Tribolium castaneum: one gene and its partners. The protein of the gene in region 3 purifies or fractionates together with the protein of the main gene of each other region. This does not show direct contact. Links are inferred from orthologs where the notes say so. Each region holds a gene or a part of one and is shown on either strand. Other genes may lie near its edges.

Region 1 (3,195 bases), on a different chromosome or scaffold from region 3:
GCGTTTACGTACAAAGTTATGGCTTTGACGTTTCCTGTGAAGGACGCAGAGGAGTGGAAGAGGCTTTTTAAGCCTTGTGCAGCCCAGAGATTATTTCTACCTGTTGTCCTCTACTCAATATTTTCCACATTTTATGAAATTATTTTTTAGAATATTTTAAAAGACGTAGATTCCTTATTGTACATGGATACAGATACGTTGTTTTTGACGCCAGTCGAGAACATTTGGAGCTATTTCCACAAGATGAATTCTAGTCAGATGGCTGCGTTGGCCCCAGAACATGAGGACCCAAACGTTGGGTGGTACAACCGTTTTGCCAAACACCCATTTTACGGAAAATTGGGTACAATTGTGTGACTTTTTTGCACTTTGTAATCCCCAATTTCAGGCGTAAATTCCGGCGTGATGTTAATGAATTTGACCAGAATGAGGGCGTTCCAGTGGAGTGAGTACGTAGTCCCCATTTATAGAAAATACAAATTGAAGATAACGTGGGGCGACCAGGACATAATCAATATAATTTTCCACTACCACCCTGGTATATGACCATTTTTGGTGCGATTTTATAAAATTGTGATTCGTTTTAGGGAAATTGTATTTATATTCGTGTAGGTTTAATTTCCGACCTGACCACTGCATGTACATGAGTGTTTGTAAGCCGGCGGAAAAGTTCGGAGTGGCTGTGGTCCATGGTTCTCGCGGGTTTTTCCACTCAGAGAAACAGCCGGTTTTTCAAGCAATTTATAGAGCTTTTGAAGAGGTTGTTACTACCGATTACAGGAATCTGTAATTGAAAACGCAGTTTTAGTTCCGTCTAGGGGGTGATGTATTCAAGGATTTTTACCAACCGCTTGAAGCCTTTTTGGAACAAGTTCAGAACACGAACTGTGGCCATATTAAAGACATTTTTCTCAAAAACGTGCGACTTTACATTAACATGGAAGACACCAGTTAGTAAGCCAGAGTTTGTTAATGCAACGAAGCTGTCCATCAATGCAGGATATTTTATTTACAAGTGGAGTTTATACTTTTATAAGCTGAATAAATAATTATTGAGCCCTCCACTTGAATTTTCTGGTGATTAGATCTCTCACTGAAAGTATAAATTACATTAGCTATTTTTTTGAAGTGCGTGAATAATTTATAACATAATTTTGAAAGAAAATGAAACGTTATCGTTTTCCTAGTTCTGAAACAGCTAATAGAAATATTTGCATTTACCTGAGAAAAACTAAAAATTCTTTAAAATCTTCGTCTCCTGAATTGATCAACAATAAATAATATCCGTAGAACACAAAGTAAAAACGGTTATTAACACTATAAACGTCGTTAATCCTAAATCTTTAGCACAAAACCAAAAATAAGTTGGACCATTTTTAAATTTTGTTTAAACCAAGATTGGGATGGCGATTTTTTTAGGTTGGTGCACCTGTTTACGCCTTTTTTATGTAGGGAATTTGAAGGTTATGTAACCTAACCTATTTTTTTTTGAAAAATGTTGCGAAAAGTGTTAAAGCCCACAACGTTGTGTGCTCTTTGGCCGCTTGATTTTCTCAATGACAATGATAAGTTGAGGCAAGACACTCCCACCGAGCAAAAAGTTGATTTATCAACTTTGCCGGAAGAGACAGGTTGGGACCGTCTGAAGCGGGTTTTTGAGGCCGAGTCGGTACGAAACCATTGGGCTCCATGTAGTTAATTGTTCAATTGTAGTGACTTTGGTGAGGTCAGCAAGGAATTACTCACTGTTTTACACGTCGGGGGCATGAGTTTGTTCGTGGGGGGCATTTACGGGGGCGTTGTGCACAGTAGGGTGGCCTATGTGAATTTTATGAAGAACAACCAAGCCACGGCTTTTACTGATCATCTCGAGGCCAAGGTATGGCGGCTCTGGCTGTTTTTAAGCGAATTAATTTTGTCCAGTGCAGAAAAAATTGCAAGATGCGGTTACGAAAAGTTTCGGGAAGGGGGCCTGGATGTGGTCGTGGAGGCTTGCCTCGTTCACGATGTCTTTTACGTAAGGAAGATTGGATTGTTGTTGGTATTTTTCCTTGTTATTTATTAGGGCAATTTCAACTGGAATTTCTGTATACCGGGGGAAATCGGGAATTCTGGAATACGTTGTTGCGGGGTTATTTAGTGGTACCTTGTATAAGTGGAATATGGGTCCGAGGGGCTGGGTAGTCGGGGGCGGATTAGGTATTTTCTCAACTAGCCAAGCCTTGGTTAATTTATTTTTGATCCAGGGGCAGTGTTGGGTTTAATAGCAGGCGGTGCCACTTTAGGTTTGTTAAGTTTGACAGGGATGTCGATGGATGAGGTCAGGTACTGGCAGTACCACTGGCAACGAGAGCGGCAAAACTACACAAATAAGGGTATAGCTGAGTACCTTGCCAAGGAAGAAGATGAAGTTGTCCAGCACCACAATAAGAGAGTCGGAAATTCGGGAAAAACATTAGAAAATGTGGCCGAGTAATTGTGATAACTGTATTCATGTAACACGAAAGCGACTGATAGTTAATACTACTTAATGATTTATACAATGAGCTTCAAATACAAAAATATTTGTTTGAAAAAGCTAGTTGAGCGCATGTTAACCGAATAAATAATTTATATAAAGCATACAACCGCCGTTTCAATTGTCCACGTTTTGAGACTTTGTCATTCGTTTTGGTCCTCGGTTTGGTGGCCCTTTCGGTTTGGCAAATTTCGGACGGTGCAAATTTTTTGTTGGGTGTATCTCCTCGTACAGGAACTCTTCGGTCAACTCAGACCCTGAATCAATTTCCAACTGAAATTTTTCCGTTATCAGATGAGTAAAATACTACGAGCGGAACAACAAATTGAACATTTTCTATTCTGTTTCTACTTCGTTAATTACTTATCAACATCAAATTTTTATTAATACTGCTAAAATAATTGTTTATTCAAAAGATTTTTCTCTTCTCATAATAGATCAAGAAAACAATGGAAATTTTTAAAACTAGGGACTTTGTCACAGATCATGAAGAAAACTAAAAGCACTTCGAGTATAAACCGGATGAAGAAATAACATCTAGTAATGGTTATCGTGTTTTTTATTTTATTTGCTTTAAGTTTTTTGTTCGAAAAATAACAATTTTTCTGCAATACAACTCTGTGTTGTCAAAAACATAACAAAGAAGGCATAATAAAATTGTCAGTAAAAATAAAAGA
Region 2 (2,343 bases), on a different chromosome or scaffold from region 3:
ATCTTGAAAAGGCCCCGCGCCTGGAACCCGCAATTTCGAACAACCCCGAAAGATGCCCAAAACGTATCACATCGTTTTCGGCGACATAATGAATCGAAACCGGCGAAAACTCGCCCCATTTGGGCACAGGACGGAACTGGAGGCCCCCCTGTGCGGTGGTGAGTACGAAGCAAGGGTTAAAACGGCGTAAAATTACCTTAAATTGCCATAAATCGTACACAAGTCCAGGACAGTCGATGTAAACACAAGCATTTTAACTTAAAAACAACACGGCAGCAATTTTTTAAACGTCCATTGAACTTCTAACACATCCCACCGTCTTATTCGACAAACACAACGTTAATTCGCTATAATTTTATGTAGAATTTATCACAAATTCTGATACGCTTTTGAAAACAGACATCTAAACTAAATATGGCAGCCATATTCAATGCAAAACAAAGGAAATGTAGCTACGAAACCTACTTGATAATCTCGGACCCACATCCGCTTTCCGGCGCACGGCTCGCCGACAGATGGCGCTTTATGGTAATTTTTCGCGAAAGTCCCTAACAAAGGAAAAAGACACTAGGGTTTATTTATTTATTTCTAATTTTCTAAGCTGTACAACAATTTTCTAACACGTTTTTGGCGGCTTCGCCGGTGGCCAGGCCCACTGGTTCGCGGGGGCCTCCTTCAGAAGGGGCTCCCAAGGCTTCCAGGTCAACATTTTGCGAGCCAGGATCAGTTCATTCTCAGCTTGGACTATAAGTTCCTCGACTTGCCCACAACCCACTTGTCTCTCAATCCCCTCGACTGTCGTATTCTGCTTCAGGGCCTGCGCCCTCTCGTTGACTATCTCCTCGGTGTATTTCCTGTATGCTGCCTCCTGGGGCATCTTCTGCAAGGTTCGCAGGATTTTGCCGTACAACACACCCAAAGTGTGGTGAGGGTTCTTCGAAACGGCCAGCCCCGTGAGCCCCGTCGTCTGCTTCAAAACCCCCGACATAGTTTTGACTTGTTTTTCTTTACGTAATGTTTTTGTGAGGTTATGGACACGACAGTGTCGCCAACACAATTAACTGCTACGAAGTTTAAATTTATTTTACACGATAAAATTATTTCCGCATATAATTGTCTAAACTAAAATTTGTAGAAGCATTTTCTTTGGTAACCCAACTCTCCTCCCAGAAGTTCCTCAATCTGTCGTCAACATTCGCGCAAAACTCTCTAAAGTCCTTCAGAAGTTTGGTCTGGAAGTTGTTATCAACACCTTGGTTTGTGCGCCACCTGCGACTGACCATGTGGTTCCAAGACCATAAAAAACCCATCTAAATCAAATTATTGGTAAAAGGAAACGAATCGGCGCTAATTACCTTTCTGGAATTATCATAATCGTCCTTATTTTTCCCACTGACGTGCCGCGTGATGTAGGCTTCATGGGGGCTGGGCACAACGTCCGCGTGCACCGAGAACCGCCCAGTGGACCTAGGTTTGCTCCCAACTGAGGGGACCCTGCTCCTGGGCTTTAAGGCAGGCCGCGAAATCAGAATAAAAACAGTTCCGGTGCAATGAACGTATTGGTGTTCACGCGAAGTGGCCTCAGGGTTAATAGGCGGCTCCAGCATGCAGTTAATAAACCCGAATCTTTGTATGATCGTCTCTTGCAGCAAAAATAGGCGTTCGAGCGACGACCCGTCTTTGAATTCTTTGAAAATTGTGTCCCGTTCCTCGAGGCATTTTATGTTAAGGGGTACAAAAATAGGGCCTCTTAAGGGGTCGCTTTTGTTAGAATAGGGTAAGGCGAGGGGGTCGTGCGGGATCGGGATCATTTGCAGGCCGCAAGTTTGGGCTTTCCGGTGCCAACTGGACAGCTGCGGAGCGAAATTAGTCGGTTCATTTTAATTTTAAATTGATTACCAGTTCGGCAACAATAGAACCCGATGATGTCAGCCATTCGACAATTAATTCGTAGGCTTGGTCCGGCATGAAAGTCGTTTGGTAGCGGACGTGGCCCCACTCCACGCGGTCGCTTTTACCAGCGACGTCAGTCTCCAAACGCATTCTTTTGTAAATGGTGCCTGAAAAATTTATTGGAAAATTGTTTAAATATTGATTGGTGGGATAATACTCTCGTTCTCGGCGTATTCAACGTTGATGTCCTCGCACAGGAAGTGGGGGACACCGTATTTCCGGTCGCAGTACATGTTGGGTACTTCCACCCCGTTGGTTACGTCCGACAGCCCCCAGTTTAGGGCTGACTTGACCTCGACTTCCAGCCACTCGTTTTCGAAGTTTTGCAAATCGCCGCTCGGTTGAAACGCATCTTTATCATCTATGAATTGCAAATGAACAATTTGTTGT
Region 3 (3,091 bases):
CAAAGTAGCAGCATTCCAATTAGAAATTTTCGGTGTGTCTGTAAGATTTGCTACAAATTTTTGGCAAATAGTATTCCCTTTCTTTGTTTTTAAATCTGTTATGGGTAAAATCACTACGGTTTGCATGTGGAGATGTGCTTCTTCCCTTTGTTATTCATGCCATTAGTTATTAACTACATTACATTTATAATAGCTTTACAAAAATTGTTTTAAACAGCGAGCTATACGCAAAACCTTGTGAATTTACACATATTAGCGCTTGTTTTACAAATTTTGGTTAAATGACTGTATTTTTAGACTTTCTCCCTTAAAGCTCGAGTAGAAGGATATATCCTATAAATATGTTTCAAAAAATATTACTTAAAACGGCTGTAAAACACTGAAAAAATGACTAAAATCCGACACTTTTTAATCCCCTTAATCATAATCTTCGCGATATATTCCTTTGCGGATTTGATAAAAAATGTTTCATCCCCAATTCCGATGGGTGAAGGAGGACCCTATACGGAACAATTTGGAGATGGATAAAGTAGCGTAACTACTTTTAAGTTTTTTATTTTTTTTTGCTATAAATAAACTATTTAAATTGAACTAAATTTCAGTTACATTGTCAGGTATCCCCCTTGTCTTCTTTCCCAGGTAACAGTTGTTTTCTAAGTTTTGGCATGACTCTAATTCTGGGTACACTAGGCCCAGCAAACTTGGCTTTAACTCTTCTTTGTTCAGGAATATAGACTTCAAAAACTTTATAATATTTTAAAACATTTTCTGCAACAGATCATTGGCTATATTGGCTTAAAACAATGGAAAATTACTTGTTATTTCTTCGGGTAATTTATACTCCTTAGAAATAGCTTCAACACTATGTAGTCTACGATCGTGTTGGTGGTCTGTCACAAACTTAAGGACTTGTTTTAGTGAGGCCCTCCCTTCTGGAATTTTTTCAGGTTCTTTAACCCCATATTCAAAATCCTCAACTTGTTGCCTGTTAAGAGGAAGAGGTCTGTTGGGGTTTATTTTCTGTTCTTGCACCGGATTCTAAAAAAATATTTGCAAATTTGACGTTTTTTTTTTTAATTTACTTACAGGGTCATGTGAGGTCACATAAACATCTTTTAAGTAGTTATCCAACTGTTGGTGTTTTTTCTGGCCTTCCCTAAATTCTTCAGGATACTCTTCAAGAATATTACATTACTCAAGCCCTTTCGAATAAACAAACTCACCTCTCATTAATCTTTCATAATCTAGTTGATCACTTTTGTGTTTGGGAGCTGGAGTTGGCTTATCTTTGGATATAATTTTGTGTGCTCTACTCTCGATGTTAAAAGTCCGAAAAGGACGACCCATTAAAGACATGACTTTTCCCATTTTCGGCTTAAAAATTGAGTTGAGGTTAGGTGTAACCTCAATTCTAAAACTTCTTGATGTGACAGTTGACGAAAATTGAAGAAGGACCTCACGTATCCAGTTTTAATTATTTAAGGATACTTGTTTATTTCATAAAAATTGTGTTATATCATAATTTTTATTTTTCTATTCCACACATACTCGGTCACATTGCTGAAACAAAGACAGATTGACGGAGAAAGACAAAGATAAAACGCCTATTATGACCTTTTTTTTGATTTTTAAATCTGTAAATATTTTAAATCAGGGGCGTAGAGACTGAAACTATCAAATACCATGCATGTTTATTTTGCATCTGGGCAGATGTTTAAATTATGTAACTTTAGCACAATTTAAGTTAGCATTTTACTTTTCAAATCATTTATATTAGATCTAAAAAAAAGCTCACAAAAGAAATAATAATTTCTAATTTGAACACCTTTGATACGCTTATGGAACAAACGCTATCTCCATTGTCGCAAGCAGCGCGCATAGCTGCCAAATTGAGAAAACGGAGGGAACTAGGCGTCACATTATTTTCAACTAAAAATGGACGAAACAAGGCATTAATAAATACTCAGCTGGAAAAAATGGGATGTTTTATAATTTCCAAGTAATTGTCTGGGTGCAGACACGATTCGTGAGCTAAAGCAATGGCATTTAGTTCTAAATAAATAGTTTTCTAAGGTTGGCAGATTCTGGAATTTGACACTGTGTAAGATGGCTGGTATCTGAATCTTGGTAAATTGTCTTTGTTTTCATTACAGATTTAAGTGCCTTAAAAAGTGATTTAGCTTTAAATAACCGTACAGTTGAATGTAATTAAAAGTTTATTGTGTGGTGCGTGCGACGTAGCGTAGTGTAGAAGCCCTATGATGGAAATAATGTGTTAAGTGTTCATAAATTCCTCCACATAGAATGAGATAGATTGACAATTGACACTTCAAAATCTGTCAGTTCTTGCAGCAGATTCCATTTGTTTTAGAAGAATAAAAGGTAATTGTTGGCTAGGTTGTTTAAATAAATTTATCCTTGATGAGATGAATTGGTGTTAGACAGTAACAGATTAGATGTCACGCACAATGCCAAAGAATGTATGACTGGAATGCCGTGCGAGTGAGACATTTGATTGTAATTTGGCACATAGCTCTACTAGCGCCTGAAGCACTGTATCCCATACACTATGACAGATGCTATGCCTAATCTTTACACCGATTTATTCCCATTTTAGCCTACGCTTTAATCCACACCAAACGCCCCCTGATTTGTCTCAACTAACGCACAAAATTCGCTTCTCTTCCTAATCTCCGCAGCTAATTGTCATAGTTGCAGCTTTTTATGAAAGCAAATCACCAAACTGGACCATAAGAATGTAAATTAATCAATTAAAACATGCCATACAAAGACACAACCACTCCAATTATTCCTCGGAGACTTCTTCATTTAGCAACTAGGAGCGATTTTGGTGTTTATTAAAATAAAAACAATCCAAATGCAAATGTAATTGAGGTCACATTTAGAACATTTTTTCAGTAATAATTATTTGAAAGTGATTTTCACGGGTGCATAAAAAATTGCAATTGTGCACGCTTATTGGTAAGCGACCTTTTTTACCGCTCGTTATTGGTGCTCATTACGTAATGAATTAACAAGAAATTGACATCAATGGTTAAAATCTAGCAGAGTGTAAAATCACGATTTGTGA

Evidence for each region.
Region 1: the proteins of protein NDUFAF4 homolog (region 3) and 140up purify together in Homo sapiens (affinity purification with mass spectrometry; 3 studies listed by BioGRID and IntAct, with this or other methods). This does not show direct contact. The link is inferred for Tribolium castaneum from reciprocal best matches to the Homo sapiens genes NDUFAF4 and TIMMDC1.
Region 2: the proteins of protein NDUFAF4 homolog (region 3) and ND-13B purify together in Homo sapiens (co-immunoprecipitation; 3 studies listed by BioGRID and IntAct, with this or other methods). This does not show direct contact. The link is inferred for Tribolium castaneum from reciprocal best matches to the Homo sapiens genes NDUFAF4 and NDUFA5.

The regions. Positions count from the first base shown.
Region 1 is NC_087395.1:15,888,393-15,891,587, forward strand, and holds 140up (RPII140-upstream gene protein), read left to right. Parts: upstream 1-1,430; 5' UTR 1,431-1,495; coding exon 1,496-1,665; intron 1,666-1,713; coding exon 1,714-1,879; intron 1,880-1,928; coding exon 1,929-2,017; intron 2,018-2,065; coding exon 2,066-2,199; intron 2,200-2,246; coding exon 2,247-2,476; 3' UTR 2,477-2,627; downstream 2,628-3,195. Other genes in the region: glucoside xylosyltransferase 2, read left to right, coding at 1-102, 151-343, 389-538, 588-760, 809-955; twf (twinfilin), read right to left, coding at 2,636-2,791.
Region 2 is NC_087395.1:17,351,252-17,353,594, forward strand, and holds ND-13B (NADH dehydrogenase [ubiquinone] 1 alpha subcomplex subunit 5), read right to left. Parts: upstream 1,059-2,343; 5' UTR 989-1,058; coding exon 617-988; 3' UTR 569-616; downstream 1-568. Other genes in the region: GATOR complex protein Iml1, read right to left, coding at 1,098-1,310, 1,356-1,853, 1,900-2,060, 2,111-2,314. UniProt on the Homo sapiens protein: Accessory subunit of the mitochondrial membrane respiratory chain NADH dehydrogenase (Complex I), that is believed not to be involved in catalysis. Complex I functions in the transfer of electrons from NADH to the respiratory chain.
Region 3 is NC_087397.1:10,570,149-10,573,239, reverse strand, and holds protein NDUFAF4 homolog, read right to left. Parts: upstream 1,603-3,091; 5' UTR 1,369-1,602; coding exon 1,224-1,368; intron 1,176-1,223; coding exon 1,087-1,175; intron 1,039-1,086; coding exon 816-1,038; intron 769-815; coding exon 611-768; 3' UTR 540-610; downstream 1-539. UniProt on the Homo sapiens protein: Involved in the assembly of mitochondrial NADH:ubiquinone oxidoreductase complex (complex I). May be involved in cell proliferation and survival of hormone-dependent tumor cells. May be a regulator of breast tumor cell invasion.